2 linked regions of the Tribolium castaneum genome follow. The protein of the gene in region 2 binds, or shares a complex with, the protein of the main gene of each other region. Links are inferred from orthologs where the notes say so. Each region holds a gene or a part of one and is shown on either strand. Other genes may lie near its edges.

Region 1 (4,490 bases), on a different chromosome or scaffold from region 2:
TTTTTTGTAATTTGCCGCCCTTTTGATGTTTCAATGGGCATCTTAAAGCACGCAACGTTATCAAGAGCGATGTCATAATAAGATTAAGACTCGTCTTATAAAACTTGTTTTTAATGTACTATAAATTAGGTCAAAAATGATGTTAAATTTGCCTTTTTACAGTGTTTAAGCACGTTTTTGAAGTAAAAACAAAGTTTTTTCAACAGTAGCGCCAAACAAATAACAACTTTGTCAAAAATGAAGTTTTCAAACTAAATTGTCAGTTTTTTTGAGATTTATTTTATTTTATTATTCTTTTTGTCATTTTCGAGCGTTTTGCTAAAAACAAACAGAAAATGAGAAAGTTTTGCCGAACATATTTTAATTATTTTTGCCTTTTTTGATTTTTATTGGCGTGTTTATCTTTAGGTCATTCAACAATTCAATAAAGAGTTTGAAATTGAAATAGGCAAAGAAATCAATAAAAATGAGTTTTTTTAACAAAAAAATTGATTAAAGACATAAAAGCCCATTTAGCTACGTTTTCGTTCCAGAAAAAATGAGCACCCAAAAAGGTAACGCCCAAAGGAGTCGCTCCCAAAAACATCAAAACAAAACCGCCTTCAAAAACACCCTCCACGACACAAGTCAACGCACGAAAAACATTAACAACATCCAAATCAGCGACGTTTGTGTCCGTTGCAAGGAAATAATCGAGTGGAAAATAAAGTACAAAAAATACAAACCGCTCACACAGCCACGAAAATGTGTCAGATGTGATCAGAAAAACGTGAAGAAAGCGTATCATGTGATGTGTACAGACTGTGGAAAAAAATTTGGTGTTTGTACAAAATGTTGTGAAACGAAAGAAGTTATTACAACAAAACCGGACGAAAAGGAACAACTCAAACTGGACAACGAAATGAAGAATTTGCTACATACGCTTCCGGAACGCAAACGGAGGACGTTTTTGAGGTACATGAGCAAAAAAAGTGAGGAAGATTCGACGAATGACGAGGAGAGAAAGGAAGATTTGAAAAGCAAACTCAACGCGCTTAAGATTGACGATGACTTGGACGACTTCAGCGATTTTGATGACGTTGATTCGTCGGATGATTAAATTTTGTAATATATTGGTTGTAGAATTTAATTAAAATAATAAAATAAAAGAGCGAATATTTTTATTTGTTGCACCACGTTCTGTCAAAGCGATCTTATTTGTCATTTCGGTTAATTATCTTGTAATAAATTATATGCGTCCTACAGAAATAATGGAAGTGATGACGTTAATTCGTCTAATGAGTAAATTTAATTAGGTATTTGAATTTAATAAAATTTGAGGAATATGTTAATATGTTGCGTTTAAGTTTGGCGCCACTTGTGACATTGACATCTGTCAAAGGGTCAAAGCGCTGTCATTTGTCATTTTGTTAGCGGTGTTATTTATACATTTTGATTCAATTTCTTGTAATAATTAATATGAGTACGAAAGAATCAATGGAAATGGAAGTCGATAATCCGGCTTCTGCTGATGTTGCAAATAATCCGGCGGAAGATTCGGAAAAAAGTGTGATGGCAGCTGGGGCTGTCGGTTCTGTGACTTGTTCATTGCACCCTTTGGTGATAATGAATGTTTCTGAGCACTGGACACGTGAAAAGGCTCAAGAGGGCTCAGTCCAACGAGGTACGACACCATTTACAGTATAGTTAGTTATTTATAATGTTACATTTTAAGTGATTGGGGCTTTGATTGGTAAACAGAAGGGGCGAAACATTGAAATAATGAACTCATTTGAACTGGTATTTAGTGTAATTGGAGGGGATGTTATTATCGACAGGGATTATTACAACATGAAGGAAGAACAATGTAAGTATGTACCGTGTGGTCAACGGAATTTGTAATCACTAATCAGAGTAGGGAAGATTTTTTCTGTATGGTTGGTTGCGTTTGTTGTAATTGAGACTCATTTATTTCTTCAATTTCATTGAATAAGATCTGTTGTAAATTATAATGAAGTTTAGCCAGACTGCAAATTTTTTGTGGGAGGTAGGCAACGTTTAGGGTTACCATCAGATTTTTTTTAGCTTTGGACACCACAATAAAATGACTAACAACAATAACTTACATTCTTATATTATCGTATTATCGTATATAAAATACTCTGGTAATGGCATCTTATTACCTGACTTCTCGTTTGTATTAAGAATTTTTACTTAGTTTAATAAAAATAAATTTATTTTCAAATAAAATATTACAAAACCAAAAAAACATTGCCAATAGTTTTAATAGTATGTACTGATACAAGAAATATAACAAACAGCATTAGTATAAAAAATATTGTAGTAATAATATTGTACAGAGTGCTGTATTTTGGATGTCGGAATAGGAGATCTCCGAAACTAAGAGATTTAGAGAAAAACAAGTGACACATTCTTGGGTCCGTTTTTTGAGAATATAATCTTGGTCTAAACCGCATCTTGCTATCGTTTTTTGTTTTCGACTTATAAACAAAAGTTGACATTTTAGTGTCAACTTTATACAGAAAAAGCGAAATGTATTTTTTTTAATATTTAAAAAGAATGTATTACACATCAAATCAGAAAAAAATTAGCTTTACAAAAATATTACAGCCTCCTATAATTCATATTTAAAAAAATAAAACTTATTACAGCTAAACGAAAGGTTAAAAAAATCGCTGATAACATTTTTAAATTCTCTGTAAAAAGTGCTTGTATAATGTTTGTGTTTCAAATGTGTATCTTTTATAATAAGGAAGATATATATGATTTTTTTTAAGATTTCGTTAAAATGTCAAGTTCTGTTGATAAGTCGAAAACAAAAGATGATAGCGGGATGCGGTTGACCAAAATTATTTTTTAAAAAAACGGACCAGAAAATGTGTCACTTGTTTTTCTCTAAATCTCTTAGTTTTGGAGTTCCCCTATTCCGACATCTAAAATGCAGCAGCCTGTACAATGAGTGTTAGAATGATTCACATCTAATCATCTGTGAATTTCTCATGTAAAAGAACATATAACTAATGATAGGCATTTAGACATTGAATATTAACATTCTGTATTTATTATTTCAAAGTTAACTAGATGAGAATCATTTAAAAACACATTGTATAAACAGTAAACCACCTTTCTGCATCATTTTTTTTGCAAAACTATCCGGTATCCTGTTTGCAAAATGTAAATTCAATTTTTAGAAGTTGTATATCTACATTTTTCCAATTCACTCCAAGTTTTTTTTAATATTCAAAGTATTTGTTGGAAACAACTAGATAGTTTCGAATTCAGAAAAATTACAGATGGAATTAAGCGTTCTATCGCAGAGTTTTTAAAATTGGTCGTTAATTTTAATTTTAGATACAACAAAATTTAAATTACCCTAAGAAAACTGGACATTTATTACAAATTAACATTTGATCCGGATACCGGACATATCGTCTAATATCCGGATTGTATTGAGTGAAAACCGGACAGGTGGCAACTCTAACAAGGTTGCTATAAACTGTAAAGTATGGATACAGTAGCTGAAAATTTTATAAACAGTAAAGTTCATGTAAATGCGGAATAATATTTTTCTGACTCCTGTGAGTTCGCAGTAAAGCGATGGCAGTCCATTTACCGAATACGGTGTATATATTTTTTCATTTTTTTTTTTATTAATTTTTCTCAAGTTTTGCGCTTAGTTATGACAATTATTCGCCTTTCAAGTTAAGACCTTTGGTTTTTCTGGTTGTTAATTGTGAAATGCTGCTTTGCCATATAGCGGGAAATTTAAATGTAATTTTTTTGAAAAGGTACAAACGTTTTTTGTCTGTTTGACACTTTTAATAGATCTTTTATGGTACTCTAGCTGCCAAAATCAAATTTCGCAAGGGAGTGGTTCACCAGAGAGCGCAGAGATCTTGGCTTGAAAGGTGAATACAAATAATAAAAATAAGAAAACTACTCTTATTGTAAATTCAAACACTAGAAAACACAAAAATTGTTTGTTAACAATCTATTGCAGTCAAGCAGGTGTTCAGTGACATGGATTTCATTGGTTGGTACACCACCGGAGACATCCCCAACACCACTGACATTAAAATCCATAAGCAAATATGCGACATTAATGAATCTCCAATTTTGCTTAAATTAAATCCCTACGACAAAAACATTGATGTTCGTACACAGGCTGCATTTTAAGTGTTAGTTTTAACATAATTATTTTAGCATTTGCCGGTTGCTCTTTACGAGTCTGTAATTGATTTGATTGGGGGCGAAGCAACAATGTTATTTGTTAATTTGTCTTATACTCTGGCAACCGAAGAAGCAGAAAGAATTGGAGTAGATCATGTGGCGAGAATGTCTTCAACGGACTCAGGAGAAAGCTCTCTTGTTGCAGAGCATTTGACAGCGCAACACAGTGCTATCAAAATGTTGCATTCTAGAGTTAGGCTGGTTTTAGAGTATATGAAAGCTGTACAAAGTGGACAGTTGCCTACAAATCACGAGATTTT
Region 2 (4,485 bases):
TTTTTTTTTAACAATTGTTGCCTGAAAATGATAAAATTTTTCCGATTGTATTTTTGTTACTACAATGAATTTATCAGTAAAATAGATTTTTTTGACGAAAAAAAAATAAGTAAAATAAAAATAGAAATTTTTAAAACTTCTTTCCTTAAGACAATAAAATTTTTAAGTGTGATTTTATTACTACAATTAATTTATTAGTAAGACTTATCTTTTTTGATCCTAAAAATAAAAAAGAAAGAATAAAAATAAAGAATTCTTAACAGTTTTTATATCTTATATAATTATACTTTTTTAAGCTTAGTTTTTGTTCCAATTGATCGTCTTTTTTAGATACCGAAAATTAAAAAGAAAATCAAAATAAAAAATTAAATAAGAATTTTTAACAATTATTGCCAAAAAAAAATAATTTTAACGTTCGTTTTTTATAACCACAATTAGTTATCTGTAAGACAGCAAAATTAAAACAAAAGTAAAAAATAATTATGTGGAATTTTTTACAATTTTTAAGCTGGGCTTTTGTTACTTCAATTAATTTATTAGTATATTTAATATAACTGTTTTTTTTGGCTCCGAGAATTAAAAAAATAAAAATAAGGAATCTTTGACATTTCTTACCTAAGGATGGTTAAATTTTAAAGCTCGGTTTTTATTTACTATTTAATTTATCGGTATGATTTATTTGTTGCCTTATTTGACTATACTTATTTGAATAAATTTGTACAAGTTTTATAGACGCCAATTTGTTGTAATTTTAGCAAAACTTTTTATACATAAACCTAATAATAACAGCTAAATTTAATTGTTTTACCTTCAATTACTAAGAAAATCATTTATTTATTGTCATATAAGGATAAAATTACAAACAAATAGTGTCAATGATGTTTTGTGAAAAACTTAAAAGAAATAAAAGAACAAATTCTCCGAAAGAAAGCGAAACACTAAAATTGTTTAAAAACTTGAAACTTTTAATAGAGTTTTTTACCTTTTTTGGATCCAATATAGCATCAATTTGTTTATCCTTTTTAATAATTTCATTCTGCAATTTGCGTATTTTCACCTTTAGCATACGATTTTCGGTGCTAATGTTGGATAAATTTTTCTTCAGATGAAAAATTTCAGTCCGCAAATCTCCATCATCTTGTAACTAATAATACAAAGTATAAATAAACTAAAGTATAAATATTTTATTACCTCATTTCGAAACATTGTAGCCGAAGACGAAGTTACGTTTGTTTTGTTTGTAATTTAAGTATTGATCAAACAAATTTTACAATGTAATTAGCAACGGATTGCAGCAAACACAAACATAAATATAGCCGGGTTAAAAATATTATATAATTAAAACTATTGTATCTATTTTCTACTATTTCTTACTTTCTTTAATCAATGTTGTTAAATTTTAAACAAATTTAAATTTACCGCTTTATGTCAAAAGCTGCGCAGGCGCAATTATGTTTCTTTGACATTTGACAGCAGCGTGTGACAGCTGATCGGTTGTTGTGTTTAAAAAGTGCTTCAAAAACAACAAATTAACTAATAAAAACTAAAAAAATGGTTATTGAAAAAAATCCTTTCCCTGGCAATGCCTTGGAACAATTTGTTTTATTGTCAAAGTCAACAAAAGGGGCTGCTTGTTCCGAACTGATCAAGCAAGTGTTGGAAGCCCCCGGTGTTTACGTTTTTGGTGAATTACTTCACATGCAAAACATTGAAGAGGTAATCAAACATATTTTTACATTTATACATTAACTAAGTGTTTTGTAGTTGAGTAATACACCACAGAAAAATTTCTACAACACTCTCAACTTGTTTGCTTACGGAACCTACAAGGATTATCTAGCAAATAAGAAGGATTTAATTGAATTAAGCCCAGCTCAGAAGAAAAAGCTTCAACATTTAACCATTGTTACGTTGGCCACCAAATCAAAGGTAGTTAAAGTAATTCCACTTTAGTGAAATTAAGTTTTTAATATGGATAACTATAGATTAGGAAACGACACGACCTACAAATAAAAAGTCCTCGTTCTCGATAGTTTCGATAGTGTTGTGTAGATGGCGGAGCACATTATTGTATTAAAATTTATCAATGGTTTTAATAGCAGTTAGCACATGGTATCCAAAAAAAGCATGTTAATGCAGCTTTTGGCTATCATTTTTTATTAAAAAAAATACAAGTTATTGCAATTTGCGAATGTTTCGGCATAAAAATGTCATCAGCTCTTAATGATTTTGTTTAATCTAGTTTGTTTAAAAACAAAAAAATTGTTGGCGTTCTTTCCAAAGCACTCTTTGTAAAAATGCTTTTTTCTCCATTTTGATGAGCATTTAAGATTCGATTATATCATGTGATACATAGATGTAATCGGAAATGAAAACACTTCAAAAATACAAAAAGCAAATATGGCTTCCATAAGAAAAAACAAAATTTAGTGTTGTAACACTGACATCAAGAACGCCTTGGAAAATGGGACGACAGATTTAGATTTCTTGTAAAAATGTACCTAAAGAACGTTCTAGTTAAAAACGTCTAGTTCTTTTGGTTTTCACTCGAAAAAAATTAAAACCCAAATTTTAACCACCTCGTATCTCGTATAATAACTGAGATTCCCATGGTGGAGCTGAAAAAACGGCCACCCAGTACATTGTTTTGACTACTATAACAATCTAAAGATAATCGAGTATATTCCTAAAATTCATAAAAGGGACATAAATTTGTACCATGTTACATGTTCAAGTTAACAAAAAAAACAAATATAAAAAAATTAAAAAAAGATTTTTTAACCATTTTTGCCTAGCGATAATCAAACTTTTCTGCTCGGTTTTTGTTACTACAATGAATTTATCAGTATCTAATACGAGTGATTTTTTTGAAAGTGAAAACAAAAAAATTAAAAACATTTTAAGCTTCTTTTTGATCCAAAAACTAGAAATTTTTACCGTACTTTATAATAAATCTTCTAAAAAGTCTGCAATTTTTTTTTATTTTTTGTCAAAAATAATTAAACTATCGACAAATTTACGTCATTTTCAAGCATTTTTGCACAAAAACTATTCAGTTCAAAATTGTACTATTTTTTAACTTTGTAAAAAAGTTGCATTGCATTTTTCTCTACAACTTTTTTTTAATAGAACGACTCTATTTTCTTAACGGCAATGGAAAGAATATCGATATTTATGGTGACTTTTATCAATACGTCCTATACCAATCTCTTACAGTTTTTGAAAAAAATCACAAAAAACGGATTTTACTTGGTAGTTTTCATAGTTAATCAAGTATACCTTGCAAAATGGTCAACAATTATCAAACTTCAATTTTTTATTTAGTTTTTAGCTGTTTCATTATCGAATAATCAGTAAAATAATCACATTTAATTATAGTTTATTATAAGTTAGTGAATTATGTAAAGTAACTCAGTCAGTTTGCCATTGATCCTTGAACTTCTTGAATGAAAATGGTAAATAAATAGGACATTTCTTTTTGTTAACAGTACAATTTTATCGTATTTTTCAAAAGTTTACTTGATTAAAAATGAAAATAATGAGCTAAAATTCTGTTTTTTGCGATTATTTCAAATACTGTAAGAAATAGATATATAGAAGATGTTATTAAAAGTATGCATAAAAATTGATGTTCTTTTGATTGCTATTTAAAAAACTGGGTAATTCCATTTGAAAAACTGTTTTATAATCATTTTTTAATCATCATTTTCAACAAATCATACCTCTAGCTATGTTAGAAGTTAAAGTTTCTAATGTAGGCTCTAAAAGAATCAGCCTATCTACTAATTTAACAAAATTTGATTGATTTTTCTTAGAGCAAGTAATAATAAAAACAATGTTTTTTTAGTGTATTCCGTACAACACCCTTCTGGAAGAGCTAGGCATAACAAATGTTCGTGATTTGGAGGACTTAATAATTGAGGCGATTTACGCTGACATTATTCATGGAAAATTGGACCAGAAAAATAGTCAATTGGAGGTTGATTATGCCATAGGTCGTGATATTCGTCCTGAAGACATTAATGTAATTGTGAATTGTCTCCAAGACTGGTGTTCGGCCTGTGAAGGTGTTTTGGCTTGTGTTGAAACACAAATACATAGAGCAAATAATGAAAAAAATAAATCAATGTTGAGAAAAGCTGAAGTGGAGCAAGAGGTATTTTTTTCGAGTTTGTATCATTACTTTGTTTTAGATATGCATTTTTTTTGTAGATTAGTAACATTAAAAAGACTCTGAAAACTCAATTACAAGAACGCTCTGATGGAACTGACGAGGCTATGGCTACTGATAACAGGGAAGCTGCAGCAATTAGCGAAAAAGGAAAAAAGTCAACTAAAATCAAAGGTATAAGGCATAGCAGTAAGTTTTGGCTTAAATCTTAATAATTTTTTTCTAATATATTAACATGTAACAATTTTAATGAGATCGTAAGTGTTATTTAATTATTGTTTGTACCTTTGGTACAAAATAAAATCTCTGTGAAA

What was found.
Region 1: CSN7 (region 2) and CSN6 share a complex: the UniProt entries of both Drosophila melanogaster proteins name them as parts of the CSN complex. The link is inferred for Tribolium castaneum from reciprocal best matches to the Drosophila melanogaster genes CSN7 and CSN6.

What each region holds. Positions count from the first base shown.
Region 1 is NC_087398.1:15,420,333-15,424,822, forward strand, and holds the start of CSN6 (COP9 signalosome complex subunit 6), read left to right. Parts: upstream 1-1,372; 5' UTR 1,373-1,458; coding exon 1,459-1,663; intron 1,664-1,714; coding exon 1,715-1,846; intron 1,847-4,000; coding exon 4,001-4,152; intron 4,153-4,203; coding exon 4,204-4,490. Other genes in the region: uncharacterized protein C9orf85 homolog, read left to right, coding at 539-1,099. UniProt on the Drosophila melanogaster protein: Component of the COP9 signalosome complex (CSN), a complex involved in various cellular and developmental processes.
Region 2 is NC_087395.1:497,577-502,061, forward strand, and holds the start of CSN7 (COP9 signalosome complex subunit 7b), read left to right. Parts: upstream 1-1,454; 5' UTR 1,455-1,551; coding exon 1,552-1,716; intron 1,717-1,764; coding exon 1,765-1,929; intron 1,930-3,847; coding exon 3,848-4,156; intron 4,157-4,212; coding exon 4,213-4,383; 3' UTR 4,384-4,485. Other genes in the region: IQ domain-containing protein E-like, read right to left, coding at 983-1,144, 1,192-1,206. UniProt on the Drosophila melanogaster protein: Component of the COP9 signalosome complex (CSN), a complex involved in various cellular and developmental processes.